Struthio camelus: one gene and its partner. The protein of the gene in region 1 purifies or fractionates together with the protein of each later gene. This does not show direct contact. Links are inferred from orthologs where the notes say so. Each region holds a gene or a part of one and is shown in the gene's direction. Other genes may lie near its edges.

Region 1 (15,000 bases):
TGGATTTTATGGTAAGTCTTTATCCAAATGATTTCTGAATGATGGCTAATGTAATAAACAACTACCTTATCTTTCCCCTTGGACATCTGATTTTTGAATGCAGCACTACTTGTGGCTCTCCTAGAACCAGGTGGGAAACGGGCATAGTAAAACTGGAATGTTATAATTTGTTAACGTGATCCTTGCATTCATGAAGCGGAGCATGTTTTAGTCCAGTGGTTCGCTGTTGGACTTCTTGTGCCTAAAGTCAAAACCTAATCTGACAAAGTTCTAGCTTGCTTTTTTTCCCTCCAGCACCTGTATGTTCTTGTTTGGTTTTAGTACCCTATTTGATTTTTAGAGACAGAGAAAGATAATATATTTGTACAGAAAGTGCTTTCATATCTTTTAATGAAAAGTTCCAGGAGAAATCGTAATGTTGCTGTAATTCCTTTTGGGCTTCGCTATAGCTGAGAAACAACACAATGTGTAGAGTTTGCTATGGAAGCTATTTATTGTCAGCAACAGGCATGGGGGAAAATGCCACTGACTAGAAAGAAGCAGTAGGGCGACTGTTCCAAAAACCAACACCATTAAATTGCTTGGAAAGTTTTAGTTGTGTGAGGAAATCCTGCAAAATAAACCTGATAACACCTGAGGAAATTCGGCAGAATAACTAACACCTGCCACAGGGAACATGTAGACTGTAATATGCATTTTCTGGGATAATGTGGCAACAAGAACAAATAGAAGTGTTGACAAATGGCTTAAGGCTCCAAAGAAATACTTTTCTGCCAGGGCTATACAGTCCAGAATTGCTTACATCCAGTTTATAGCTACACGAATGTGGCATTAATTTACCATTGCCAAATTACTTTTTTTTTTTTGATTTCTTTCTGGTTTTATGAGAAATGGGAATAATTTGGTCTTGTTTTGCTTTCTAACTAAGCAAAGCTACTGTAAGTCTTATTTGTAGTCAGGAAAACTAAGTAGCCCAGATAGTTTCACAATTTTTGCCTTAAATCTCCAGTGTAAAATTCTGTAATACAAACATTCAGCTGGTCTGGAATGTCCCAGCCAGCTACTTGCAGGGAGCAGAGAAAACATCATAAGTCGTGTTGTGTGAGATCCTGTTTTCGCTCCAGCACCCCCTGTATTGCTCAAGGGAGTGAAGAATGTTAGCTATCTGAGTGTGCTTCCTACTAGTGGACCTAGGTGACAATAAGACAGACAGCTTCCCGCTGAGCATTTACTGGTGCTCCTGATAATGCTTTTTATTACACACTTGACTTTTCAAGTTCTGCTGTAAGTATTTGCCTCTGTTCTTATTATTTGAATTTCTTCTGATCCATTAAGAAGAAAAAAATTCTCTATTTAACAGATGAGTGCCAAACCAAATATGGAAATGCTAATGCTTGGAGATACTGTACCAAAGTCTTTGACATGCTCACAATAGCAGCTGTAAGTGTAAACGCTATATTTAAAAAGAATCTAAGTAGATTGTCTAAATGTGACCTCTTGAATTAGCGGCCTTTAAGGGTCACGCTGGTAGAGTTCTGAGTTGGATTGAAGTGCTGTGCGTTTGACACGCGTGCCTTTTTTCTCCAGTTAATAGATGAGCAGATTCTCTGTGTGCATGGTGGCCTGTCTCCAGACATCAAGACACTCGATCAAATTCGAACCATTGAACGTAATCAAGAAATTCCGCATAAAGGAGCCTTTTGTGACCTTGTCTGGTCTGATCCGGAAGATGTAGATACTTGGGCGATTAGTCCACGGGGAGCAGGCTGGCTGTTTGGTGCAAAGGTGACAAATGAGGTAATGATGCTATTGCACGCAGCATAAAGTAATTGTAGTTATGAGATAAATTAAGACGTTTAACTACAAGTTTGGTGTTTATCCTAGTGCTTAACAGATTGAGGACTGTGTGAGATGACTAACTTTCCTGCTAAGATAGCTCTGAGTAAGCTGTGTGCTGATGAAGAAGGTGCTTTTGCTTTATTGTTGCTAATTCAAACCAACTCGAAAAAATTGAGCCGTTTGAACTTTAAAAAAACAAAACAAAACAAAACCCTGCCAGATGAGATGATACTGATCTTGCGTTTTAAAAGTAGAATGCAGTGAGTGGGGGGGGTTGGACTTGCATGATCTTTAAAGGTCCCTTCCAAACTCAACCCTTCTCTGAGACTAACTAATTTTATTAGGCTTTGTGCAGAAATACCTCCCTAGAGATTTAGGAGAAAAAACACCACTGGAACATTTTTTTCCTAAAAATTCCTGACTTAATTTTTGTTACTTTTAGCGAAACAGTAAGCAGACTTCCCTAGGCTAAAATTTGTTGACCTTCTGAGGCTTCTGAACGAGCTGCGTTAGGAAAGCCTGATTCAGGGTATTCGTTGTCCTTTGTGGTCTTACTGCAGCATGTTCAGGAAAGTGTGAACGTTGTGGACACAACGCAGGCTTAGCCATCTCATCGGCGACTGGGTGTTTTTCAGTATGTTTTGAAAAGACGGGTCCCTTCATGGCACCATTAGCTTTAATAACACATTTAGATGACAGTGATGTGGCTAGGTCAACGTGACTGGCCGCGCTTCTGTGAAAACAAGGGGCTACTTCAGTTTGGTTCCTCTCAGAGATGTTGAAGCGGGAGCCTTGAAGTATCTTCTGTGCAGCTGAAACCTGGCAGGATTCTGGCAGAAAGCTTTTGGGGCAGGTTTGGGAGCAAACCTGTTGACCAGCTGCGATACGGGGTCTCGGGAGGGTGTTCTAAATGGGGAAGGCTGTTGTGTGGGTGATGATGTGCAGCTCTTCACAGAGAATATTTACACGCCTTTTTTTTTTTTTTCCCCCTCCTTTAAATTACAGTTTGTTCATATCAACAACTTAAAACTCATCTGCAGAGCACATCAGCTAGTGCACGAAGGCTATAAATTCATGTTTGATGAGAAATTGGTAACGGTATGGTCTGCACCAAATTACTGCTACCGTTGTGGAAATATTGCGTCAATCATGGTCTTTAAAGATGTAAATACAAGAGAACCAAAGCTATTCCGTGCAGTTCCAGATTCAGAACGTGTAATTCCTCCTAGAACAACTACACCCTATTTCCTTTGAGACCTTCCCCAGCCTGCCATTTCCCTGCTCCCTTGTAACTATCCCTTTACAATATACTTTTTATTGAGCACTTTGCTGCTGAAATGCTGCCTCTTGCCTTTTTTTATGTTTAAATTATCTAAATTTATTGTGTATTATGGTGTCTGTAGCAAGTTCCTTTTTCCTACCCTAGATTCATTTCAGAATATTTGTAATATGTCCTTGACATTTATACTACTGCATGTAGTTCTTACGTACTTCTGGGTTTAGATGAAACGTTTTCCTTTTAAAATCATAATACATTGGAACCAGGTCAGTCCTGTTGCATTACTCAGCTTTTTGTTTCGTAAGTTTTAAGAAATTTCAGCAGCAAAGTTACTATCCAGTGTGCACGATGGGGCTGCAAACGCGTTGTGTTGTGTGCACGTCCGAGACGTAGAACTGAATCGTCCTTGCTATATCTTGTTTTAAGTGGATACAAAATAAAGTGGTCGAAAGGGCTGCCCCCCACCCCCCCTTTTTTTTTTTTTTAAGACTTCGGTTAAAAATACACCAAGATCTGCTACAGCGATGGAATTTGTACATTAAAATAATTGTTCTGATTTTTTTCAGATACCTTGTATTTTTAATAAAGTCGTATCTTAAATGAAATCCACCTCTAGGTTAAATAGTGCCGATACAAGCCCCGCGTTGTGGCCGAGAGGGGGCGGCGGGCGGGCCCGGGCCGCGGTTCCGGTTCCGGCGGGAGCGGGTTGGGGTTCCGGTTCCGGTTCCGGCGGGGCGGCATGGCGCGCAGCACGCTCTCGTCCCGCTTCCGCCGCCTCGACATCGACGCCTACGACGAGAACCGCTTCGTGGAGGAGCCCGAGGAGGCGGCGGCGGCGGCGGCCGAGCCCGACGCGGGCCCCGAGGTGGAGGCGCTGCTGCGGCAATATCCTTGCGGGGCCCCGAGCGGGCGGCGGCCCTGGCCGGCGGGGCGGGGCAGAGCAGAGCGGGCTGCCCCGGTGCAGGCGGGTGCCCCGGGCCGGGCGGCTGCCCCCGCTGCAGGCGGGCTGCCCCGGTGCAGGCGGGTGCCCCCGGTGCAGGCGGGCTGCCCCCGCTGCAGGCAAGTGCCCCAGTCCAGGCAGGTGCCCCCAGTGCAAGTGGGTGCCCCCGGTCCAGGTGGGGCACCCCCGGTGCAGGCAGGCACCCTGGTGCAGGTGGGGGGGTGTCCCCCGGTGCAGGTAGGTGCCCCAGTCCAGGCAGGTGCCCCCGGTGCAAGTGGGTGCCCCCGGTCCAGGTGGGGCACCCCCGGTGCAGGCAGGTACCCCGGTGCAGGTGGGGGGGTGTCCCCCGCTGCAGGCAAGTGCCCCAGTCCAGGCAGGTGCCCCCAGTGCAAGTGGGTGCCCCCGGTCCAGGTGGGGCACCCCCGGTGCAGGCAGGCACCCTGGTGCAGGTGGGGGGGTGCCCCCCGGTGCAGGTAGGTGCCCCAGTCCAGGCAGGTGCCCCCAGTGCAAGTGGGTGCCCCCGGTCCAGGTAGGTGGCCTGGTGCAGGCGGGGGGCGCCCCCGGTGCAGGTAGGTGCCCCAGTCCAGGCAGGCACCCCCAGTGCAAGTGGGTGCCCCCGGTCCAGGTGGGGCACCCCCGGTGCTTGCAGGCACCCTGGTGCAGGTGGGGGGGTGCCCCCCGGTGCAGGTAGGTGCCCCAGTCCAGGCAGGTGCCCCCAGTGCAAGTGGGTGCCCCCGGTCCAGGTAGGTGGCCTGGTGCAGGCGGGGGGTGCCCCCGGTGCAGGTAGGTGCCCCAGTCCAGGCAGGCACCCCCAGTGCAAGTGGGTGCCCCCGGTCCAGGTGGGGCACCCCCGGTGCTTGCAGGCACCCTGGTGCAGGTGGGGGGGTGCCCCCCGGTGCAGGGAGGTGCCCCAGTCCAGGCAGGTGCCCCCAGTGCAAGTGCGTGCCCCCAGTCCAGGTGGGGCACCCCCGGTGCAGGCAGGTACCCCCGGTCCAGGTGGGGGGGTGCCCCCGGTCCAGGCAGGCACCTCCAGTGCAAGTGGGTGCCCCCGGTCCAGGTGGGGCACCCCCGGTGCTTGCAGGCACCCTGGTGCAGGTGGGGGGGGTGCCCCCCGGTGCAGGTAGGTGCCCCAGTCCAGGCAGGTGCCCCCAGTGCAAGTGGGCGCCCCCGGTCCAGGTGGGGCACCCCCGGTCCAGGTGGGGCACCCCCGGTGCAGGCAGGGCCCCCTGGTGCAGGTGGGTGCCCCAGTCCAGGCAGGCGCCCCCAGTGTAAGCGGGTGCTCCCGGTGCAGGTGGGGCACCCGTGGTGCAGGCAGGCGCCCCTGGTGCAGGCGGGGTTCCCGGCGAGGGCGAGCCGGAGCTCCCGAGGAGCTGCGCCTTGCCCGCGCCGCCCCGCTGCACCCCGGTAACAAAGTATTTGCGGCAGGGCTTATCGCGCGACTTAGCTGTAGCTGCGGACTGCTTCCCTGTGCTCTTGGTCTCCTTCTGTGGCACATCGGGCTGTTACCTGGTGTCCAGAAATCGTTCTTATAAAACACATCATTTATCATCTGTTATGGTATTCAAAGTTTGTATACAAGATTGTCGGTTGGGTTGGAGTGAGTTATGATGGTGCCAATAACCGACCGGCTCGAGTCCTTGACTTGCTGTGCTGCACAGGCGATACGCTCCGAGCTTTCCACACAGCCATAAGGAATTCTCCTGTTAACACCAAGAACCAGGCGATGAAGGTAAGCGGCACCTCTGCGCTTCCTGAAGCGGCTCTGTCACTGCCTCGCAGCAGGCACGCACCCACCCCTAGATTTCAGCAGCGGATCGTGGGGGCACTTCCAAATGGTTCAGCATTTCTCCAGAAATCTGATTAATACCTTAGTGCTGTTAATTAGTGATAGACTACAGCAATACGCTGTATTTTCTACACAGGCAATCGCTTTGTGTTCAGCTGCACCATCCATAGGCAGGCTCTTGAGCAATAATGCTGCTGCTTTTCGATGCAAATGGCCTGTTAGCTAGCCTGCGACAGCAGACTCGTAAATGAACGCAGGTCTGTGCTGCTCTTCTGCCCAGCTCTAACTGCCACAGGAGGGACACTGGAGCAGCTGATGCTTGTAAAGAAGAGGATGATGTTCTTGGGATAAACCAAAGTTTCCTTACTCAGAAAAGCAATTGATGGAGTTAGTGAGCACATACCTGAAGCAGTGTTTGCATGTGGATTTTGCAATATGCTTTTAAAACAAGGAATTTGGCCTTGCACTGTTGAATTTGTTACAGCTCAGCAGATGATTCTGCAATCCCTTTCAGTTAGCCCTTCCGAGAAAGAAGCATGAAAAAAATCCACTTTTAAAAAGATGTACCCACCCTTCTCGCTACTAAAACTTAAAGTGCAAAATGTTAACCTGCTTGGTTACAACAAATAAATAGACCAACTTTTTAATGTAGTGGTCTTCTGAGCATACTTTTGTCAAACACAGGTCTTTGATACAGTTCCAGCTTTGCTGGCTCTAATGGTTTTTTGTTTTTTTGTTTTTTTGTTTTTGTGGTCTTTGCAGGAACAGGCCCAGGGAACCATGCTTAAAGTCCTCACATCTTTTAAAAGCAGTGAAATAGAACAAGCAGTGAACTCCTTAGACAGAAATGGCATTGACTTGTTAATGAAGTACATTTATAAAGGATTTGAAAAGCCAACAGAAAATAGCAGTGCAATATTACTTCAATGGCATGAAAAGGTAAGTTTCTTCTGGTGCTGTCCGGGCTCAGGCACCTTTCAAAAGGGTCGGTGTTAGTGCTTTCACTGGAGCCCCTCTTGTGTATGATGGCAGGGGATTCATCCCAGAGAAGCACAGTGCTTGGTAATTCCTTTCATTTTTGGTCTCTTTGCACTTGAATTCATTAAGCCTTTGCCTGAATTTCAAAGCTCGCCCTCAGCCAGGAGGAGAGGTGAGACTTGTGGGAGGGTCCGGTGACCGCCGGAGGAAGCTCTGCCACCTTGTTCTGAGTGTAATGAGGGCAACGGTTTCCCACCAAGGAAAAAGAACTGGGAGTGGAGATGTGATTGTGTGAACCCTGGAGCTGGCAGTGTTTCTTTGTAGTTGAGTATTTGGTTAATGGCATGCTCGGGAAGCGTAGGTCTGGCAAGAGTTTTCCACAGTTAAGTGCCTATAGCAGCATACATGTCCCAACTTAGTAAGAGGACTGAGCAAACCTGTTTAGTTTGCACAATAAAGGCTTTTGAGATCTCTGAAGAGATTCCACTTGGATCCAGGGCAGTCCCCTCTAGTTTCTGTTGAATGACCGTTTTGAGATATGAGGGGGTGAGATGTGTTTAGCAGCTCTTGAACGTTCTCACTCTGTGTCATGGGATGAGGCGCATGAAACAACTCTTCTGTGCTGCTCTCCCCAGGTAGAAACCCGTGCGAAATGACTGACATCTTCCCCAGCTGCCTAGGTTTTAAGTGCTGCACAGGCTTTCAGTGGTCCTCTTAGAAGAAACAATCCTTAAGAACTCTGCAGTTCAGTGTACCCTCTGCATTGTAGCAGTACGGCCAGCTATTAATGGCTATGTCATTTGCAAAAATTGCTTTTTCTGAGATATGTAAAAACCGAAATTGTGTTTGCAACAGTGGCTCCAGCTATTAGCAACTGTCACTTGCTTTGCAGATTGTTTAGCAGGGGAGGAGGAGAAAATACATTATCAGGACAGCAAGGAACATGTTTCTGCTTGACTCTTCCCCACCCCCTCAATGGAGACTGTTTTCTGGTAACTGTGGGCTGGTGCTCCACAGTATATAAAATTACTCAATATTCTGCCTTGACTAGGAAAAAGTTAGTGTTTAGAGCGTGTAGGCACATGCAGAATATCTCTTCCTCATTTTGAAAGGAACAAGGCAGGTCTGAAGTAGGCTGGGCCGTGTTCTTAAATGAAAGCTTTCCTCGTGTTCTCCTTTCTGGCGTTACTGCTAAGAAATGTGACTTGCTCAGGGAGGCGTCTGCGGTTCGGCAGTAGCCTCTGTCCATCCTGGAGACGGAGTTCTGCCTGTGGAAAAGGCCCGTTTGTCATCCCTATGTAAAGCAGGTCTCATAACTCAGGCACATCATGTGCAAGCTCTGATTCTGAGTGGATGCTTTACATCCATCTATGTTCTAATGACAGCAAGGTGTCTGATACTGTTGATTGTTTTTCTCCTTTCATAAGTTGCAATAGCCACTTGGCTGCGTTTGAATTGTGCCTGCAAAGTAAACGTGCTGTTTTAAGCAGCTTCAGTATTACTCATTTTGTCATAATTAAGTCAATCTTCTAGACTTTAGAAGGATACACATTATTTACGTTGAGGGATGCAAACCAAACCGAAATGAGCCTTTCCCCATTCGGGGATATGGGAAGGGAGACAGATTCTGTATTTTCAGTAATGCATGTGACATGAGTATCTTCCACAAGAACCAAAAGATGGTTTGTTAGATTTTGGGCAGTGTACGTTTCCTTGTGGTTTTAGTGGTATATGGGTTGTTATTTTTATTTCTGCAATTGGTTGTGTCTACCCTTCAGACCCTTGGTTCTTGTGTCACTGAGTACGTTTACAGACTGTCACGATATATGCAGCGCAGTAACGCGAGTCAAAGATCACTTTCATCTGTATTTACAGAGAGGGAGCAAGGCACATGCTTTCCAAGATCGTGGGAGGAGATAGGAACAAGCAGGATCTGAATTCAGCCCTGATCTCCCCAATCAGCCTTTTTAACTGTCACGCTAAATCGTTTAGAGAACACACAACGAAGAGGAATAACTGTGTGACCGCTACCACAGGAAGTTAAAGGTGGCAGCAATGTAAAAGGCACCTGCACAGACCTGAAGAGGCGGAACAGCTTGTAAACCACGTTTCCTGTTCTGCTGGCAGCAATTAGCACAAAGAATTGCTTTGTGGTCTTGGCTAGCATAAGTTAACTGATACATACTAATGCTTTGCGTGATGGAGCAATCGTACCATGAGAACAACTGATGTCTGGCCTTGCAGGCTACTATGAGTTTTATCATGGAAACCTGACACTGCAAGATAGGGTTTAGTGCCTAAATGATACTGTTTAAAATGTCTTTAACCTCAGCATGTGCTAGAGAAAATGAATAGATTTTTCCTAAGGAACCGTTGTCAAATCTTGAATTTGACAGCAAAAAAGGGTAGAACAAGAAGAAAAGCCCAAGATGGCTATGTGTGAAAAACAAGTTTTTGGAGAAGAGACACTTACTTCTCTGTTACTAAGCACAAAACTGTTTGTTCTTCTAAGATGCCTTTTGTGTGCACTGCAGCAACTGTGTGTAACACCTATCTCCTTTTCCCCTCCCCACAGGCATTAGCAGTAGGTGGACTAGGTTCCATAGTAAGAGTTCTTACAGCAAGAAAGACTGTTTAAAAGACTATTAACTTGCACCAAGACGACGATCAGTTCTGGACCCAGAAGAAGGAACTAGCTGAAATGACACTGGTCCATCTTTACAGAGATTGCAGTCTGCTGAAATACTATGGAAACCTCTTCTTGGAATGCTTTTAACTTCAAAGGTGGGGGAAGAGTAAACATTATTCCTGTATGCTCTATCAAATACAGGAGCCAAGATATTATCCTGATCCCTTCTTCTTTAAAAGGCAGAGAAAAGGTGAACTCCTGCCCCCCCATTACTGTAAGTGAACAGGTATTTTCAGATGCTGCTTTATCAGAGCGTGGTGATACAAGATCCTGTGTGTACTGCTTATTTAAGAGGTAGCTATGTCGTTTGCAGATGCAAGATTCTGACCGCTTAAAGGTAGGAGAAGTGTTTGTTAGAAAGAGGGGATGGTCAAAGGACTAGCTGGACTGTGGGGCTGGTTTCATTGTAAAGTGCCTGCTGCATTAATAAAGTTCTTGGATCACACGAGTTAAGTAATTTATTTTTAGCGAACCTGTACGCCTGCAATTGATTCAAAAGCAGACCAGCAATATACCAGTTCTAAGCCAAGTGCCCGCCTCTGCAGAAGTGATCTTCGATATGCTTGCTCTAGGAAGCGAGATCAAGCCCAATTGTTCACTGCACTTTAGAAGCCTTGGAATATAGTACATAATTACTAATGATTTGATTTTATACTCTTGCTCATGCTAGGAAGTCAAGAAAATACTTCAAAACTTGTTAACCTATTTATATGTTAGTTTATCCTCATCTCTAAAGGACTATTTGACAGCATAGTAAGAAGCTTCCTTTGAATGAGTACGTGCAGGTGTTTTATCCTTGATTTGCCCAGACAGAACAGCACAACTACTCACATCGTCATTGTTTCCAACTCAAGTTACAGCACCTAGGTAAGAGTCTTCAGTTTCTACAGCGTCTCTCTAGGGGCTCATTTTACACTGTGCATATGGAGTCTGACAGGGTATCTGTTGGGAAAGAGACTGAGCCTCGCTTCCTTTTGTCACAAACAAGTGTGCTCCAAGTGAAGCAGCTGTTAAGGGAGGCTGTATTCCACTTGGTCTTTGTTTTTATCAGCTGCTAAAAGTGCAGCAACAGCTGTCCCTGGTGGGAGACAGCTTCAGGAGGCAGAAGCACTCTGCCTCATTCCTGGCCTAATCCCCTATGAGAAATAGGGGCCTTAATTATATGGTTGACACACCCATTCTTACCATAGACAGGGAGATGGGTTTTGTTTCATTCTTTAACATTTCTCTGCATTTTAAATAGCTATAGCATCCCCATGGAGATAAGCAGAACTATAAAGAGAAAGAAATCAAGATTAGAGTTTTAATCAAAAATGTATTGCACCACAAATTTCATAGTGTTTCATAATAGAATCCATATTTACAGCATAGAAGGAAAGAAATCCAATGGCCATAGAAACGATTATGTATACCATTGTTTTTATACAAGGTAAAAGTGCATTAGCTTTTTAATATACGTATACACACCATTCTTGCTCTGATATATAAAGAAAAATCAACACTTAACTAATTTATGGGAAGTTGATCCTGTAAGAGCTTGGGGATCTTAAATTGAAATTGTGTTAGTAAACAAATATTCTGAGATTTATGTATTTCTTCCAAGTCCCCTGCACTGCTTTCCTTACTGTTCAGCAGTAACCTTTCAAGCCAGGATCAACTTAAACCGATTAGTCATTCAGCAGGCATCAGCAAGAGTAGATGAAATTCTGTCCCTTGTTCCCGGGTCCCCTCAGATGTAGGGCAGGGCCAAGGGGATGTTACAAAGACAGACCTTAGGGAACAAAATCTGGGCCCTTCCCAGAACCCACAGGGTTCCCCTGCCCCCACTTGGTTTCAGTATAGGAGCACTTCAAACAAATCTACTTTTTGATTGTCTGTTTTCATGTTAAAGCCGAGCTGTACTCTTCCCATAAACTTCCCTATTCTATGCAATTAAGTGCTATGACTCAGTTTACTAAAGACTGTGTTTGACAAGCTTTAGTATACTGAAAAATCGTGTTGTCTCGCTTCAATTTAAATAAATGTACCCTAGCTACAAACTAAGGAGTGTCACTTTTGTCACAGTAATCGCTACCGTGAGTATCTAGGCTACTTAATTTGGTGAGGTCAGCTAGGATATAGATTTGCAGCACATTTACTACTCTGGTAACTGACCTCATGCAGAAGGCTACTTTCATCTTTACAACAGCACAAGTGTGCGCAGGGGCAGGAAGCAGCTCACGTGCTGTGACTCTCACGCTGTAGCTTACTGCCACCACCACCACCGTCATTTATAGCAAAGCTAAGCTAAAACCCTGAACAGTGACCGTATCTCCACCAGAGTACAGGTTGAATTTTCTTGAAGATATTTAATAAAAATAGTGTTAGTAACACAAACCGCATTGTAAGAGAATTGCCAGAATTGGAGCCTGTTCACTGAATGCCATACCTATGTAATTTTTTAAAAATACATCCAATTTTTTAAGAAGTCAGATGAAAATGGGAAGCAACAATCAGTCTATTTTCTGGTTAGTCATTAAGGGCAAAATTCTGCTCTCAATCCTTGAGGCAAGTCCCAGCTTGGTCCCCTTTTCCTAAGGTAGAAGTAGGCAGGCTACTTGGATTCATAAGTAAGATTCATTGACTATTTCAATTTTGCTCTCAAAAAACAAACAAACAAACAAACAAAAAAAAAAACCTCATAAGCAGCATTCCTTTTACCATGTAGTTAGGACACAGTTAACAGCCCACTAGATGCCCGTAACAGCTCTTTTAAGCGTCAGTATCTGAAGTACATAAAATCACAACCAAAGAGGCAGATACTGGTTATGAAGATCTGGTTGAACATCTGCTGCTAGCAAACTTGCACAGGGAAAAAAAAAAAAAAAAACCCAAAACAAAGTGTTCAGTACCAATATTCTTCACCCTTTGTCACTAGAGGGTTTTTTGTTTGGTTTTGGTTTTTGTTTTTTTAAAATAAAAGGTATTTTCAGTGTGCATTTACAATACCTGGAATTCAGCTTTAAAAATTTAAAATGGTTTACTATCCCCTCTTCCCCACATTAACAACCTATGGTACAGACTAGCAGATTAGTTTTAAAGGCGACTGAGTATTAGGTACTATAATTAAGACCATTTTAAATATTATTTTTCTTTAAGAAAAGTAAAATCAGACAACTCTAAAGTTGTGCTCTCAAATTAAATAAACATCATCAACATGCAGCCTTCAGGACTGCAGGCCAGGATATATGCACCTTAAATTACACAGTGATATGAAAAAATGCAAACTATTAGTTATGTCAGTATAACAAGGCAAGGCAGTTTTTTTTTTTTTCTTTTTTGGTTAAAGCTCCGGCTCCTGTTCTTCGAAAGGCTTTTCAAACTGCCAGGAATCCAACAGTACTGCCAATATTCTTTCCATTGCTTGCTTTCCACAGTGAGACAAGGAAGCTTTACTGTAGCTAGAGTTATTCAACTCTGGCATTTCATAACAGAAGTTGGAATCACCATCATAACAGATGCAAATGTTAGAAGCTTGAACTGCCAGCACCAATGTTAGTGAGGTTAACGTTACCCTTTGGTGCCAAGAAACAAGACCGATGAGCACAAGGAGCTGACTTCCATTAAGAGACCATCGAGACGACAGTCCCTGGATCCAACCCAAGAAAGATGTTTCAGTTTGTGGTGAAAATTTCTCCTTGCACAGTATTACTTTTGTAAACAGTATCAAAGTTCTTGTACAAAATACTGCAATGACAGTGATTAAGACACACCTGAATTAGTGTGTTGAGTGTTCTTTTCACAGAAAATAAGTGGCTAGATGCTGACTGCCTGTTTTCAGGTTCCCTTAAGACCATGGTGTCCTTGGGCTTGAGATAGATGGCCGGATACTGCCTTTAGGAGATGGCTTTGACCCAAACCACGACATCTGGGACGGGAAAGCACAATACACATTAGGCTAGGTTCCCACTTTTAGGAAAAAGTGAAAATTTGAAAAATAATGTAGTACACATACATCTCCCCATCATTGGATGGGGACAAATTTTTATAAAACATACAACACTGCAAAATTCAGACTAAGAAGGTTTCACACAGTCAAATCTGGAAGAAACAGCATCCTGTTTCTGTAAGTCAAGAACACTGAAGATAACATTTAGGAATATTCCTTCAAAATAATTATAAGTTACAGTCATTTAATGACAGTACCTTTTGCCAGTCTAGCATGACAAGTTCCCTGAGCGAGATGGCAAGGAATTCTTCCTCTCTTTCACTTGTGTATACCGAACACGTTTAACTTACTGAGCGGGCAGAGAGAAACGCAGAGCGTCTAAGGAACTGAAGCAGCACTCATTGATGAACGTTCACTAATAACCACCAACCCAGCGGCGTGCAGAAGATGATCTTATTTTATACAGTGGAAAGTAGAAACAGATCAAGTGCCCAAGCCCAATGTGAAATGACAAAGCCATGAATCCAGTATCCTACTCTTCAACCTTAGACTGTCATAGCAAAGAGCTTCTGGCTTCACACCTGAGTCCACTGGGCAATACTGTGCTGCTTTTCTGAAGCACTGAAAAGTTACACTACATTTACCTTACTGCACTGAAAAGTCACACTACATTTACCTTACTGAAATAGGCGATTTCCATCATGCATACATGTGATTAGTGCACGCTTGAACATGAGATGATCTTTATTATTGTTGCTAAAGTTTGGAAAAGATACTTTACATGGTCTCCCAGCATTTAATAGTTTTCATTCCTCTTACTGGGAATCTACAAGTAGAACAGAACCCTTACCTTGTATTCCAAGGTTTCTTTAAGCATATTTTCTTCCTCTTGTGAAAAATTCAGTAACACAGACACAGCTTTAATTAGATGGAATGCCTGAAAGAAACCCCAGCAGTTGGTTAGTTATGATGCCCTCAGTCTCTAAATTCTGGATTATGGTGCAGCACAGATTTTCTGTAGGTTTGGTCATAGGCTTTTTAGTTACAACTGTGAGGAGCAGAGCAGGAGTCTTCCATAAATCTCCAATTCCAATAGAAAGGGATGCTGTGCATGCTGTGTCTTCTGTTTGTGTTTACTGGCTTTCTGTTCTTTAACAGTGGTTTGCATAGGGACGATAAATTGGGCAGCCCAGTGTATTAGAACAGAGAAGAAGCCTTGCTTCTACGGCACCCCCGGCCCCCTTTTTTTAAAAGGGTCTGAAGATTTGATCAAGCCAGCATGCAGCCATTTTAAATATACACTCAAGTGTATTAACTCTTTAGTACTAGCATTTTAAATAGGACATATCATGCAGAGACACTAGAGCAGTCAAGCACTCAGGATACTGTGGAACTGCACATCTATTTCTTGATCTTACCTACTGTCTGATTTGCAATTAAGCAAAGTATACTGCTGGCATGACTTTTTTACCTGTAACTTCCTTGACACTGAATGTGGAGAACGCAAAGGAGGTCTAAATGCACAAGGAATTAGTTCTTAGATATCAACAGCAAGTAGTTT
Region 2 (15,153 bases), on another chromosome or scaffold:
TTCCAGGTAAGCAGCACGGAAAATAAGCGTCAACAGACAACAATGAAGGGGGCTGCAAGGCACAGGGTGCCCCCAGGAACATGAGAGCAGGCTGGAGGTATGGAAGACTCGGAGCCAGGATGCTGTAAGAGCTGTGCCTGGGCATCGCACAGAGCTGGTGGAAAACACCAGGTTGCCAGAGGTTATGGGGTCCACAGGAAGGGGAGCACAAGGAAAGACTGCAGAGGATCACTGCTAGCAATAGAAAGCATGGTGGGGGACCAAGGGAGATGATAAATGGGGGAGGAAGGGTGCTGTGGGGATGAGGGGTAACAGTGAGGGGAGCTGGGGGAAGGCGAGAGGGTACTGAGGCACCGCACAGGGTGAGGGTCGCAGCGAGGGAACAGGGCGGGAGAAGGGGCCAGAGCCGGGGAGACGGAGGATGCTGGATACCAGAGGTGGGGGCAGGCTCACCGCGAGAGGAGGGCAGGGGGGCTCGGGGCTGAAGGAAAGGGAGATGCTGGAGAGGCTGCGGCGGGCCGGGAGGGAGGGAGGGTGCCGGGGGACAGGAGGTGAGGGGTGCTCAGAGTGCGGCGCAAGGAGGGTGCTGAGGCGCCGGGGGAGGGCTGTCGGAGCGCAGCGAGGGCGCTGAGGCGCCGCGGCGGGTGTCGGAGGGGAGGGACGGTGCCGGGGCAGGGCGGCCGCCCGCAGGAAGGGGCCGGGGAGCGCGGGGCTGGCGAGCGGCGCGGCGTTACCCGGGCGGCCCCTCAGGCCGCGGCGGCGGGACGAAGGCGGCGGCGGCGGCAGCCACACAGCGCGCGGCACGTGCGCCCTGCCCAGCGCCGCCGCCTCTCGCGAGAGCCGCGCACCGCGGGAGCGCGACCGGAGAGAGCGGAGCCTGGCGCTATGCGGTGGGAGGCGGGGCGTGTTTTGAGCCTTCTGGCGTTCCGTAGCTGAGGGGATGGAGGGTGGGTGTACGCTAAGCAGGAGCACGTGACGGGGAGCGCTACGGGGCGGCGGAGCGGTCAGCCGCTGCCGCTTCGCCGTGGCGCGGAGCCGGGAGGCCGCCCGCCGCCATGCCTCGCTACGCGCAGCTGGTGATGGGCCCGGCGGGCAGCGGGAAGGTGAGGCAGGGCTGGGGCGGCGGTGCGGTGCGGTGCGGTGCGGTGCTGGCGGCCCCTGACCCTGTGCGTGTGCCTTGCAGAGCACCTACTGCTCCACCATGGTGCAGCACTGCGAGGCGCTGGGCCGCGTCGTGCAGGTGGTCAACCTGGACCCGGCCGCGGAGTTCTTCAGCTACCCCGTCATGGCAGGTGAGCCGCGGGGGGCCGGGGCCCTGCGCCTCGGGGGGAGCCCCGGGGGGCGGGCAGGGTACGGCCGGGGCCCTCTGCCGGAGGGGGAGTCCTGGGGGGTGGGCCGAGCCCAGGGGTAGCTCTGATCTGACTGTAGAGGCGGGGTGCGCCTTACACTAAACGTAAACTATAACATTTTGTATGTATTTATAATAATTCGTGTGTGTGTATATATATGAATACATATGCACACGCGTCAAATATATATGTTGATGCTTACGGCCAGGCAATGTAGTAAGTGAATAACAGGCTGTGCTGTCACTGCAGTTTAACACACGCTTCCCTACCTCAGTACAGCATGAAGACACTCGACGCAGGAAAGCAGAGTGAGGTTTCTGGAGCGTAAACAGCATCTGAGCTGTCTGTCAGTTCTTCCTTATGCTTTCTAAGACCTAGGTTTCAAACAAGAGTTCTTGTAAGGCTTGAGCGTGTTACGGTAACCGGCCTCTGCATACTAGTGTAAACAAACGTGCTAGAAACGTATTGTGTGTCTTGTTCCAGACATCCGCGAGTTAATAGAAGTGGACGATGTTATGGAAGATGATTCCTTAAGGTTTGGTCCCAATGGCGGCTTGGTGTTTTGTATGGAATACTTTGCCAATAACTTTAACTGGCTAGAAGAAAGCCTTGGTCATGTGGAGGATGACTATATATTGTTTGATTGCCCAGGTAAAGAAATATATGTATCTTAGTATCATACTTAAATATCATATTTCATATGCAGTATAAAATTTACAATATATTTTTGCTGGTCACAATCATTTGTACGTTTTTTATGTTGTAAACAGCTGTCAGAGTCACTTTCAGATGTTTCAGGAGGGAACTTGGTCCTGGTTAATTTGGATGGCTGCACAGATTTTTGACAGCATCATGTGCTGTGAGAATACGACAGCCACTGTTAACGCTAACTGGAGGTCAAGGGAGGAAAAGAAAATCTTTCTTCTTCTATCCCTCCAGTATAAGTTCATGCAAATTCAGTCAGAGTTGTCTGAAAAGAAAGATCATGCTTTTTGTAACAGGTTTTATTCATTTGAAGAATAATGCCCACACTTATATAATTGATAACTGTGAACTAACATATGCTTTTTTTATGTGTTAGCTTTACATTTCTGCATAGTAATATTCTGTCCTAGGTCAGATTGAACTCTACACACATTTACCAGTGATGAAACAGCTGGTGGAGCAGCTTCAGCAGTGGGAATTCCGTGTCTGTGGAGTTTTTCTTGTTGATTCTCAATTTATGGTGGAATCTTTTAAGGTATCCGTTTGAAATATATTGTAAAAATTCATATTAGTAGAGAACAAGAAATCTGAGTAATTTTAAGGAGCTAGTTCTGTTTAGTCTGAAGAAGAGAATGCTAATTGGGGGCGGGTGGGATCTGATGGCTGTTGTCACCTGCCTAGTGAGCCGTTATGGAGAAGAAGATCGAGCCATATCCTTCTTGAAGATGCGCAGCAAAAGGATGAGAGGCAATAGACACAAGTGGCAGGAAGGGAAATTCCAGTTGGATAGGAGGAAAAAAATCTGCACTGTGAGAGTGGTCAGACTGGAACAGGGGCCCACAGAGATTGTGTAATGTATGTTCCTGGAGTTAATTCAAAACTCACCTGCATGAGATCCTAAGCAACCCGATCTGACCTTGCAGTTGGCCCTGATATGGATCAGATGATGTCTAAACGTGCCTTCCAAACCAAATTGTTCTGTGATTCTATAAAACTTTCTCAGATCTGGAAAGAGAGCATGCCCCTTTCCCAGTCTAGCAATGAGAATCCTGAGAAGGGCTTTGAGTTTTGTTAGATGTCCTTCCCAGTGGCAGATCCAGATTTGAAACTCTGGAAATAGATGGCAAATGGGAACTTTAGCCTCTCCCTTTTCCAACAGAGATAATGACTCCTCACTTGGCCTTGTGTCCATGTTTCATATATTCAGTAGCTAGTTTTGGTTTGTGGTCGTGTCCTGCATGTTTGTGTTGTGTTTGTCTGTACTTAAGTATGTCATTTTTCATATTCCTTTAAGTTTATCTCTGGAATTCTGGCAGCACTGAGTGCAATGATATCTTTAGAGATTCCACAGATCAACATCATGACCAAAATGGATTTGCTGAGCAAGAAAGCTAAGAAGGAAATAGAGAAGTAAGTTCCCCAAATATTTGTTGTATAGCCTAACATCTGGTGATAAACGTCGCTCAAAATTCAGTCTACTGTTTCCCACAATTAAAATCTACTCTTTTGGAATGGGAAAAGATGCAGTTGTTTTATATTGAACACAGTCTTTACATGTCTAGGATAGGATGCTTACAACTTAGTCACAGAGTCAAAAGGCTAGCTCTATGCATATACATATTTATCTTTTTCTCTAAATAATTATTTTCTGTTAAATCATTATCTAAAAGCACAATGACTTACTTGTTCTTTAGCAAAGGATTCTTTTGATGTCAATGAAGACTTTTTTTTTTTCTCCCAGGTACTTAGATCCAGATATGTATTCCATGATTGAAGACTCTACAAATATATTAAAAAGCAAAATGTTTAAGAAACTGACTAAATCTATATGTGGTTTGGTAGGTGTATTGCTTTTCGTTCTAACTGATATTCTTAAATTCAGTCCTGTATTTATAAACAACACTATATGGCTACTGCCTTCTTTGCTGTTATAGATATTCTGTATACTATAAAAAAAATTCCCTAAAACTGTATATTTACATAACAGACTTGATAACAGCACCAGGCTTTACAAGATTAGCAACTTTGGAGAACAGGATTATCTAATGTATAGGACTTAGGACTGACGGGCAGATGTTTTCATTGGGGAATTGCCTCTGGTTTGCAGTGTGGTTTTAAATAGTATGTTGGGAGTCCAGGCAAGGAAGATGTAGTTTGGTTTAAAGAAGTAGCTTAGAGTGCTATGAGTGTAAAAGAACTAACTTGCTGCACGCTCTTACTAATGTCTTTTAAACGTTTTCTCTAGATTGATGACTATGGTATGGTTCGATTTTTACCGTTTGATCGCTCTGACGAGGAAAGTATGAACATAGTTCTGCAGCACATAGACTTTACCATTCAGTATGGAGAAGATCTTGAATTTAAAGAACCAAAGGTAAGGTCCTTCTGATGATACGATGAAAAACTTAAAAGCTTCCATAATACAAGTCATAATATAAATGTATTTTGACTTGTTTAAAAAATGTATAGAGCCTGTGTGTTGTATGTAAACTATAGATTAGGAATAAGTTATGTCATGTACAATACAATGACACCATGACTCGTGTCTTAAAACGAGTTCCAGGCCCTATCTAGTTTGATTATTCAGATCATAAATCCTAAGGAACAAATTCAATACTTTATTTATTTATTTATTTTCAGTTCAGTTTTGTACTTGTGGAATATGCAAAATCCCTGGGTCTAGATTTTGACCCATACAGTTTGGATAGCTCTAGAAACAGATTGCTTTCCAGAAAGTTTTGCCACTCGTTTTATGGAATCATATTAGACATTTTCCTTTTTTTTTTTTTTATAACTAAAATGCCAGAGGACAGATAAATTATTACAGCTCCTTGGGGGGAAACAGTTAAGTTTTACTTTTTTTGTTTTCTCTCTGGCAGGAATATGAAGAAGATAAATCTGCTCTTGTTGATGAATATTTTCAAGATCATGTGGATGAGTAAAGCACATACATTCAAAAACAAGGGGAAATATCGTGGTTGTTAAATATTTAAAGTATCATGTTTGTGTAGTTTGTTTTTTATCTGTAAGATAACTAAAATTTCTAATGAAAAGTGATCCTGTATGACCTCATAATTATTTTAATAAATAATTTCATTCTTATGTCTGTGTGCTATAAAATATGTACGTATGTATTACTGCTGCTGTATGCAAGTTCCCCACATATAGTTGTCTCATTTAAGTATAGGAACGTTTGGGAAAAGTCAGTCATTTGCAGAAGAGGCACAGTCAAATACAAATAATTTACAATAAATATTTATCTCTAGTACGGGGTAGTTTGTTCTATTATTAGATGAGCGAAAAACTTGTTTTAAAGGGTGAGTAATGTACTTCATTAACTGAATCTGCGGTGGGGAAAGAGATAACTGGCAGCTACAAAAGGAAAACTGATCAGTAGCTGGACTCTTGACCTTCTTGAAGAAGATGAGTATTTTACGTTCACTTTGGTGGAGCCCATATTTTAAGCCTCCTTTTTTAGGCTGTTTTTGTACAACTCGCATGTGGCTTTAAGCGGTTTTTACATTGATAACATCTTAAACAGTGAAACATTTAAAATAAATAAAATCAGCTTAAATAGAAATCAGTGCTGTTCTTGTACAGTTGCTGCAGAAAGTGTGTTACTGAATGAAGAATTCAGTAACTAATAAGGTAAGTAGCTGCTTTTTTAGCTCTGAATAGAGAACTTGTACACCTACTATGACCTATATAGTAGAATGTGCGTTGGTTTCACAGAGAAGCAACATTTAAGCACTTTATCTTGGAAGAACATATTTACTGAAGTAACTAAGTACAAGTAAAAATAATCCTAAGAGCTGTCGTCCCATGCCATCTGATCAAATGCAAAGGTACCTCAGTCCTGCATGTGCACCCCCCCCCATGGGTATTTGTGTGCTCAGCCTTGCCAGTTTTATGAATTCTAGAACAAATCTCATAATATTCAGCATTCTTAAAACCTTGCCTCCCAGAGCCAGACAATTATGAGAGCTGAGACCTCAGTTTTGTGAGAGTTATCACGGTCACCAGAAAGAGCTGAAAAATTTAGCTCTTCAAGGCTTAAAAGCATGACGCAAAACCCCGGAGTATATGTATGTATATAAATAATTATTGTGGAGGTTAACTTCATTATGTGGGGAGTCTTTTTATGCCTGCCTGTAGCTAATCACATCACTGGGTGCTTTATGCCTGATCTATGCCTTGCATTCAGCAACAGATAGCCAGTGACTGATGCAAGTTTGCCAGTGCAAACCTGAATGCAGACATGGACAGTTTTGAGTTGTACTGGCTGAACTAAACCATGCAAATACTGGGGAAGCTTTGGCGGCTTAGCTAACTTCCAAGCTTGCACATCCTCGGGGATGGCAAGCCCGGGGAGGGCTACCAAGATGATTAGGGGACTGGAGCAGCTCACCTATGAAGAAAGACTGCGAGAGCTGGGCCTGTTCAGCCTGGAGAAGAGAAGACTGAGAGGCGATCTGATCAACGTGTATAAGTATCTGAAGGGGGAGTGTCAAGAGGACGAGGCCAGTCTCTTCTCCGTGGTGCCCAGCAACAGGACAAGAGGCAACGGGCAGAAACTGAACCACAGGAAGTTCCATCTGAACCTGAGAAAAAACTTCTTCACTGGGAGGGTGACAGAGCATTGGAACAGGTTGCCCAGAGAGGTAGTGGAGTCTCCTTCCCTGGAGATATTCAAAACCCGTCTGGACGTGATCCTGGGCAATATGCTCTAGAGGTCCCTGCTTGAGCAGGGGGGTTGGACTAGATGATCTCCAGAGGTCCCTTCCAACCTAAACGATTTTGTGATTCTGTGATCCTTGGGATGAGTCATGCTTGTGGAGCGTTGAAGGAGAAACCTAACTCCTACAGTTGGATTACTTTGACTCAGTTTCCGCATCTCCCCGTTTTTTCTCCCTGACTCATGCAATGATGTTATGCTCAGTCATTTGCCTGGGGACAAATGAGGGTCCCTGGGTCACAGGGGAGGTTATGGTTAGGATTTTAACAGAGGAGTGGAGAGTTCAGTGAGGCTCTGAAAACAGTATATCCTTCCAGACTGCCCACCCAACACAGTAGCCCCAATTGTTTGCTTCCTTATACCCAGTGCAACAGCAAGTGCTCACAGACCAGTCTGGCAGGCTACACTTTGCAAGTCAGGTCACAGCAAGAGATGCACAGGAGTGCTGCACATCAAACACTCAACGGAGAACTGGCTGCAAGCAAAGGGCCCCAATCTGGTGCACCGCGCTCTCTGTGCTCTTGTCACGCTCTGATCCTCGCTGGGGAAAGAAGCTTGCCTCTGTCAGCAAGGAAGCGTGATCTCACAGCTGCTTGAAAGAAGACAGCACAGAGGGATTGAGAGGGCTTTACTTGCAGCGCCAGCCAATGCAAAGGGAGAGGGAGGGGAGAAACATGACTCCAGAGGGCAAGAGCAAACAAATCCCCCAACAGGGTGTGATTTCAAAGCATATTCTCCTGCCTGTCTGTGTTTCTGCAGCGAGCGGTGCAGAAACTCTCTGGGCGGTGCGAGTTGCAGGCCTCCGCTCTGGCTTCCCTTCCTTGCACCGCCTCCGCTGCCTCATTTCCTGCAGCGCAGGCAGAAGAGGAAGGTTTCCTGCAAGCTTCTCAGTGCTCCCCTCCTGCCCGGCCCTGCCAAATTGCATCCTGCCCTTCGAGATGCCGGTGAGGGGGATCCGCTGCACTCACACCGGAGTGCTGTGTGCTTGGCCTGCCCCAGCTGCTGGGAGAGAGGGCAGGAGGGCTTGGGGGAGAGCGGGCAGGCCTGAGAGGGCGGATGCTGCCCACTGCTGGGGGTCACAGGGCTGGGGTAGGGGGAAACAGGCTTTGCTGTTGGGGTGTGACTATGGGCAGCTGCGTTCAGGAGAGATGGGCTATAGCTGCCGGGAGCCTCGCTGGGAAAGGGCAGTTGCAGTTTATGGGAGGCTGCTGCGAGGCTAGTATGCTCCTCTTCCTCTTCCTCCTGTGAAGGATCCTGCCTGCGTCTCTGGGTGCAGCTAGCTGTGTTTCTGCAGTAAGGAGGGTGGCAGTCCCTCCCAGCTACACCTCTGGGCACTCCCAGCTAGCTCCACTGAGGAAGATGGCATTAAAGCTGTGCTTTGCTATGGTTTAGTTCATACCATCTTCCTCATGTTGAAATAAACTGCTTTCCTGTTAGGTGCTGCCTACCCTGTTGCTGCCCCTCAATTGCACTTCCCTGCTTCCCAGACCCCCTGCAAAATGACTGCTGCGATGAGATGAAGGCTTTCTAGTGCCCTGGAACTGCACTGTGTAAATGTCTGGAAGGCGCCTTCAATTAAACTTGTTATTTTTTAAAAATCTGTTTCCCAGGAATAATCTTGTCATTCACACAAGGGTCTTCTTTGTTTTGTTCTGTTCTTTCACTGACAAATACCAGTTTTAAAGTGCATGAGCCGGTCTGTTTTGGTACTTTGTGGATATACAATAAGTCTGGATTTGTTTATTCCTATCTACTATTATTAGCTAGACATGGAATAAAATATAACCTTTTTTTAAAGGACCAAGTAATTAGAAAAAAAATTAATTTTCCCTCATACACTTCTATAATGGTAAGCCCCATAACTAAGGCAGGAGAACAGGGCTGTTACCACCTCAGAGCTGTGCCAAGGGGGCTTAGAGAGCCTGAAGGTGAAGCAAATGCATATAGATCTACCATACCAGTTTTTTATCATATCTTCCACCACTGCTACCATAAACGGTGTCTGTGATGATTCTTTTATGGCCTTCACAATGTTGTTGAGAGCTAGGCCTAATGTGAAAACAGCAATCGTTTGTGCAAGGTAAGATTGCTAGAAGCATCACTAACTAAACTCTGAATCCTATTTGATGGACACCCAGGAGACACTTCAGAACCGCTTATGTTGCCACGAGGACATTGAAATGCCTATTTTCAGTAACATTCATAACTAGCCTTCCGCTCTGTCCATAGGCTTACCATTCAACTTTAATGGACTCTGATACCAAGTTAATTGGGAACATGGCACTGTTACCCATCAGAAGCCAGTTCAAAGGCCCAGCACCTCGGGAAAGTAAGTTTACAGTAATCTCTGAACATTTGTTTTCATATTGCTTGTAATCATGTCACAGTTTGTTCATAGCCAGCTCTAGCATTGCTCTGGTATAGTGGGTGTCTCAAGTACATGCTTTTTATCAATGTCCCCGGGCAGATGGGATTGAGAAAATTATGGCCAAGACTTAACCAGGCGTTTTAGATCTTGATTCTCAGAGTGAAGAGAGAAGCCATGGTTTAGAAATGGAGTGCTTTTCAGTTGGTAGAGGAGGAAAAACGCTCTTAAATGGTTAAGTGCTGCAAACCAGGAAAAATAATTACCATACAGCAGTTATCTGGGAAAACTGTGCCCCCTACTCCCAAATTCTCTTACTTTAGAAATAAAAAAAAAAAAAAAAGTACAGTTACTATTTTCATGCTTCCTTCTCGGGTGCTCTACAATCAAGTTTTACTGTGGTTTTCAGTAGGCTTTGAGGAGGACTTGTAACTGATGTGAACCTTCTGACATAAGAGGAAGTAGAGGTTGAGCTAAAGAGAACTAGCACTTTGGGGACTGAGGCTTGAGAGTCACTGCTGCGCTGAAGGATGAGGAGTAAGATAGAGAGCGCTTTAGGGTACGCAACTTCATAAGTTGAAACTTAAGTTCCGAGCATCCGGAGTCCACTGAAGAGTTTTACAGGTAGTCTGAAATGGATTCCGCTTCAGCACTTCAAGTAGCACTTCCCAGGCACATCTCACAGTAGGGTGGTGTTTCAGTTTGAAAAGGGAAACATTTCTGGATGTAGGCAGTCTTATGTTTTAGCAAAAGAAGGTGAAAAGTGCATATGAGCTTGTGTGACTATATATTGTCCCCTGCTTTTTTCAAAGAGGATAATGAAGAAGTTTGGTTGTGGGGGTGTACTTTCTCCAAAAATATTTGTCTGCCCTCAGAAGACTTTTATGCTGTTAAATTACTCGACTGGTAGTAGGAAACAGTGTGGAATTGCTGAATTGTTGCCCTTTGTAAAGTGAGAAGCCATGGGGGGAAGGAGGAGAAGGGAATTAAAACTCCTGCTAAAAGTAGGAAGCGTAAATATTAAGGTCCGAATTCGCCAGTCTTCCACACTGCAATGGTTAGAGCATACTGGTGTTTTCTGCTTTTTGTTAATAGCAAGATATTGTCTTTGCAAGAATCCTTGTTTATGTACTTTAGTGAATGAAAGCTATGACTGAATGTAGTATGCTGGTCCACTGCTTAACTCTCCGTTTCTTGTTTCTGTTAGCTAAGGACACAGATATTATAGATGAAGCCATCTACTACTTCAAAGCCAATGTTTTCTTCAAAAATTATGAAATTAAGGTAATTTTTGGAGATACTGTACATTCAGAAACTCTTTGGAGATTTGGTCCTGTGCATATAAATTTATTCGCAATACAATAGTTCTACCAGTTAACAAAAACACCTCTTCCTCTCACTTAATTTTTCAAGTTGGGTAAATGTCTTGAATTGCTAATTCCCCTCTTGTGAGGAAACTGTAGGCCAAAAATGGCTTGAACTCATTCCTATTGTAAACTTTTATCAGCTCCATAAAGTCTGCCTTACTCTAACAGTGCTTGAGGACCGTGCTTACTTTTGCTTTGCAGAATGAGGCTGACAGAACATTGATCTACATAACTCTGTACATTTCTGAGTGCTTGAAAAAGCTGCAGAAGGTAAGAGAACAGCTCTTTGAGTGAAGGAGGGAAACTGAATCTGTTCTGGAGATTGCACTTAGGAGAACGTTTGCTGATGTTCTCCCCCTAGTGGCATAAATAATACTGTTCACCTCAGTCCCAGTTGTCAGATCCACCGATATTCCAAGGCTGAGGACTGCCAAAAAAGATGGGACATTGCGATCCTTGATTAATCCTTATATGTTACAGATTGATTCAAATATTTGGGTCTAATGCTCCAAAAGCTTTTGTTTATATCTTTTAATCATTTGCCTGGTTCTTCCAGTGTAACTCCAAAGGCCAAGGAGAGAAAGAAATGTACACGTTAGGAATCACTAACTTCCCAATCCCTGGGGAGCCTGGCTTTCCACTTAATGCCATCTATGCCAAACCTGCCAACAAGCAGGAGGAAGGTAAGAATAAAAAAAGACCTCTGAAGGCTTGCTTTGGCCTGGTGTTTACCAGCTGCATCTTTGTGGCTATGACTAGAAACTGCATCTTCTAGACATACTGCAGACAAACTGCATCTTCCATACAACTGCATCTTCTAGATCCGTAGTTCTGTCTTTGAGTGCACCATAACCCAGATTTTCTGACCTCAGGGGCCCAGTGACTCCCCTGGATCTATAGATCCAACAGAACCAAGTAATGGGGAGTGAGTCTGCCTCTTACATCAACGTAATTGCTAGCTAAATCCTGTAACTGAGCCCAAGCCAACTGCTGTGCTGGCAGAACAATAGGAAGCCCACAACAATAAGCAAAGGTATCTGAAAAAGGAAATTCATCCTTAGTAAAGATGACCATCTTTACTGATACAGATATCATAACAATCCCAAGTATGGCTGTAAATTGAATAAACAGACTCAAGGCAGCCTGTGAGTGTCTGCAGATGGGCAAAGTTGCACTTTCTGCTTTAAGCAGTAGTATCTAATGCTTCCCCGTTAAATTCAATTTGACTTGCTGCTGCCTCGGTTTACACCCTATTTTTTGCTTGTGCTGTGTTTCAGAGGTGATGAGGGCCTACTTGCAGCAGCTGAGACAAGAAACAGGCCTTCGGCTCTGCGAAAAAGTATTTGATCCTCAAAGTGACAAGCCTAGTAAGGTGAGAGTTCAGCGTGATAGTCACAGAATTAATGAGAGACTTGGTTTGTCCTTCCAGAAACGTGTGGGGAGAAGTAGGACGGTGGGGTGATGGGGTGACATGCGAGTAACTTTGCAGCAAGCTTCTCTGGTTTTACAAGGCTAGTGAAATAGCAGACTGCAATTTAGTAGTAAATTTAATTTGTAACGTGCAAAAACAGCAAATGCCATTTTAGGTTATTTCAAAAAGCAGGGAGGTAGTAAGTGTGTCTGGTTAAATTGTTTAAAATATTGCCTGCCAGTTATTGGCTGAGGATTCTTTAAGTTTTTAGACAGAAATTCTCAGGCATGAAAGATACTGCTCATCTTTCCAGTGGGTTCTGATTTGATGACTTCTTTGAAGTATACCTGTCTGCTTCATATCCAGATTAAAAAAAGAGACAATCAATGCATAAATTACCTGCTGTCTGTGCATATGTTTCATGTGTAAATGTGACTGCATTTAACGTTAAAATTAGTCAGGCTAACTTCATTTCAAAAGGATAGCTTGCTGATGCACCCCTTCTGTTCATTCTTACATTGGAACAAATAGTAGAAAGTTGAATGTCCCACTTTGATGTCTGCAGCCCTGTATTATAAATCCTTATTATGACCTGAAATTGCAGTAGAAACCAGCGCGGAAAACTGCATGTGCAAAACTGGATCCTTAACATTTGCCATTTGTCAGAAGTTGAACACTTGGAAGCTCTCATTTTGTTTATCTCAAGGAAGCTACCGTTGCATGTCTTTTGATTTTGTACTTCCTTTTCTAGTGGTGGATCTGCTTTGTGAAGAGACAGTTCATGAACAAGAGTCTGTCAGGTCCAGGGCAGTGAAGAAGCAAAGCAGCAACAAAGTTAAGCATTTCCACAAGGTGTATAAAGTATTTTGCCTTTATTTCGGATACATTTTGTACCATGGAAGAATTAAGTGCTTAATGAAGGAGGAAAAAAAAATCCATGCGCAAAAGAGAGAGAGAGAGAGAGAGAGAGAGAGAGAGAGAGAGAAAACATCATTTGAGTACTGTAAACAAGTATTATTAAGCTGGTGCTTAATAAATGATTTCTAACATGCTGTTTGAGATGCAGGCTGCTTTATTATCAGTGGCTACAGCTAGCATTTAAAAACAGGCCTTCTGTCTAAAGAGAGGAGATGTGTAGGGGGCTATATAATTGCTCTACTGGCTAGAGTTTTGCTATCACCTGTCCCTGGAAAACATTCCTCTTGTGCTATGTTGTTAAGTGCAGTGTTTTTTACCTTTTTTTTTTCTCAATAAACCTAGCTTGTAATTATTGTGGTAACTGCTTTATGTCTTCAAAGAAATCAAAGTTTTGTCTTTGTGAAAAGGCCTTCATTACTGCATAATGGGAAAGTAAACAACAGGAAGTGAATCATTCCTGTTGAAACCAGGATTCATACCAGGGCTGTAGTCTGCAGCACATGGTTCTTTAACAGGTCTTCCTTTGCAGAACACCACTCTATTGTAGAAAAACTCCTTCAAAGGGTATGGTAAACAGATTACATACAACTTAGTCCAAGGCTGCCTTTGTGATGGCAGGTTCAGTCAAATACGACCATAGCACGATCCTGGCAAAAACTCTGAGTTTGTTTGTTTTGATCACTCAGTTGACTGAAAAATCTGAGTGAATCTGAGTTCAGTGTATTCTCCTGAGTTGTTACTTTCCTTCACGGTAACACTTGTTTCACTTTCTCCACAGAGTACTAACACACTTGTTTTGTGTTACTCCAGATGAAGTCCAGGAGTAGTAATGTTTTGCTGCCTGGCCCATTTGTCTTTTGAGAGCTATGCTCTTTCCCCAGACAGCTGTAACAGCATGTTCTTAGAAAACCAAAAGCTCCCACGGGTTTAAATGGGAGTAGCAGTCACAGCACAGTCAAGTTTTGCACTCTCCTTCTTATAATAAAGGGAAAAAATAAACAACAAACACTTCGCAGCGTACAACTCCCCTACCCCCCCCCATGACTGAACTGATGCTTTGTGACAGTTTAACCCTATTACTGCCACGTGGAGTCATCTTTCCTTTCAGTTTACACCTCACAATTAATGGTGGCCCCAGTGAGGCCTTTCCCCCGGTCAAAGCCCAGGGAAACGTGGGAGGGTTCCCTCAGTGAGCTTCTCGCCCTGTGAGGTTACGGTCCACGCTAGTGGGCTTTTAAGGATCTTTCTCCTCGGTTACCTATTTCTATAGGCAGGAGCTTCATGATCTCCGAGACCTCGGTCACGTTTAGCAGCCGTGGCCAGTTGATTTAACAGCCTCGGTGCAGACAGGGCGGTGCCACGAACCTCTTCCCGGCGGCCGCAGGGCGAAGCCGACCTGCCACTACAACGCTCTAAAATGGCGTCGCCTCCTGAAGCGCTGAGACCGCAGGGCGCCGCCGCCCGCTCCTGCGCACGCGCGGCCGGGGCGGCGGGGGCCTGGCGCTGTGCCAGGCTGCCCCGCCGCACGCCGGTCGGAAAGCGTGCCTGTCAGGCAGCGCCGCGGGCGGCTGCGGGCGGTGGCGCGCGAGGACCCCCCGGTGGCGCCATTTTGGAGTGGCGGCGGCGGCGGCGCCCGGCTCTCCTCAGCGCTCCGTGGCTGCCGGCAGCATGAGCGTCGTGGAGCACGTACGGGAGATGGCGTCCGCCGGGCTCCACTCGAACGTGCGGCTCCTCAGCGGGCTGCTCCTCACCATGAGCGGCAACAACCCGTGAGTGCCTGGCGGGGGGGAGGGGGCTGACAGGACCGGCGGCGGCGCCGCCGGCGCGGGCGCTGAGGGGGAGGCCGGGCAGGAGCGCCCAAGGCCCGCTCCGGTCCCCGGCCCGGCCCGGGCTTCCGCCGCGGGAACGGGGAGCCGTCCCGGGGCCGCCGCGCAGCCTGCGGGGTGCGGGGGGCTTCCCGGCAAAGAGGCAGCGAGTTTCTCCTTTCCGGCCAAGGGCGCCCTGCGCGGGGCCCGGCTCTCCCGCTGACCCTTGCGGTCGCTTTTCTCTCTCAGGATCTCCCTGGGAGGTGGTATTTTATATTCGGGACGGTTTCTGAGGTACTAGTTAAAGCCACAATACTGTTCTGAAGCCTTAAGTCGTTAACGTTTCTGTAAACGTGTTGGAATTGTTAAAAAAAGATGGCTTGTAAAATGTAGGGTGTAGATTGGGGCCAGGATAGCTGTACAAGGAGATCAGTTGCCTTTTCAGCCTGAGTCCGTTCAGACAAAACGTGCTTTAACGGGCATTTGCAACATATGGCT

Evidence for each region.
Region 2: the proteins of ARPC5L (region 1) and ARPC3 purify together in Homo sapiens (affinity purification with mass spectrometry; 7 studies listed by BioGRID and IntAct, counting the BioPlex papers as one, with this or other methods). This does not show direct contact. The link is inferred for Struthio camelus from reciprocal best matches to the Homo sapiens genes ARPC5L and ARPC3.

Annotation. Positions count from the first base shown.
Region 1 is NC_090961.1:1,255,631-1,270,630, forward strand, and holds ARPC5L (actin-related protein 2/3 complex subunit 5-like protein), read left to right. Parts: upstream 1-3,805; 5' UTR 3,806-3,857; coding exon 3,858-3,983; coding exon of another isoform or gene 3,984-4,003; intron 4,004-5,625; coding exon 5,626-5,787; intron 5,788-6,606; coding exon 6,607-6,783; intron 6,784-9,397; coding exon 9,398-9,460; 3' UTR 9,461-9,959; downstream 9,960-15,000. Other genes in the region: PPP6C (serine/threonine-protein phosphatase 6 catalytic subunit), read left to right, coding at 1-11, 1,361-1,440, 1,588-1,797, 2,845-3,093; GOLGA1 (golgin subfamily A member 1), read right to left, coding at 13,338-13,418, 14,290-14,376. UniProt on the Homo sapiens protein: May function as component of the Arp2/3 complex which is involved in regulation of actin polymerization and together with an activating nucleation-promoting factor (NPF) mediates the formation of branched actin networks.
Region 2 is NC_090958.1:17,139,803-17,154,955, forward strand, and holds ARPC3 (actin-related protein 2/3 complex subunit 3), read left to right. Parts: upstream 1-7,187; 5' UTR 7,188-7,436; coding exon 7,437-7,733; intron 7,734-9,018; coding exon 9,019-9,118; intron 9,119-10,361; coding exon 10,362-10,438; intron 10,439-10,722; coding exon 10,723-10,791; intron 10,792-11,077; coding exon 11,078-11,204; intron 11,205-11,798; coding exon 11,799-11,893; intron 11,894-12,683; coding exon 12,684-12,746; 3' UTR 12,747-13,203; downstream 13,204-15,153. Other genes in the region: GPN3 (GPN-loop GTPase 3), read left to right, coding at 1,056-1,103, 1,184-1,292, 1,833-2,000, 2,465-2,589, 3,349-3,464, 3,796-3,892, 4,300-4,428, 4,934-4,996; ANAPC7 (anaphase-promoting complex subunit 7), read left to right, coding at 14,519-14,619. UniProt on the Homo sapiens protein: Component of the Arp2/3 complex, a multiprotein complex that mediates actin polymerization upon stimulation by nucleation-promoting factor (NPF).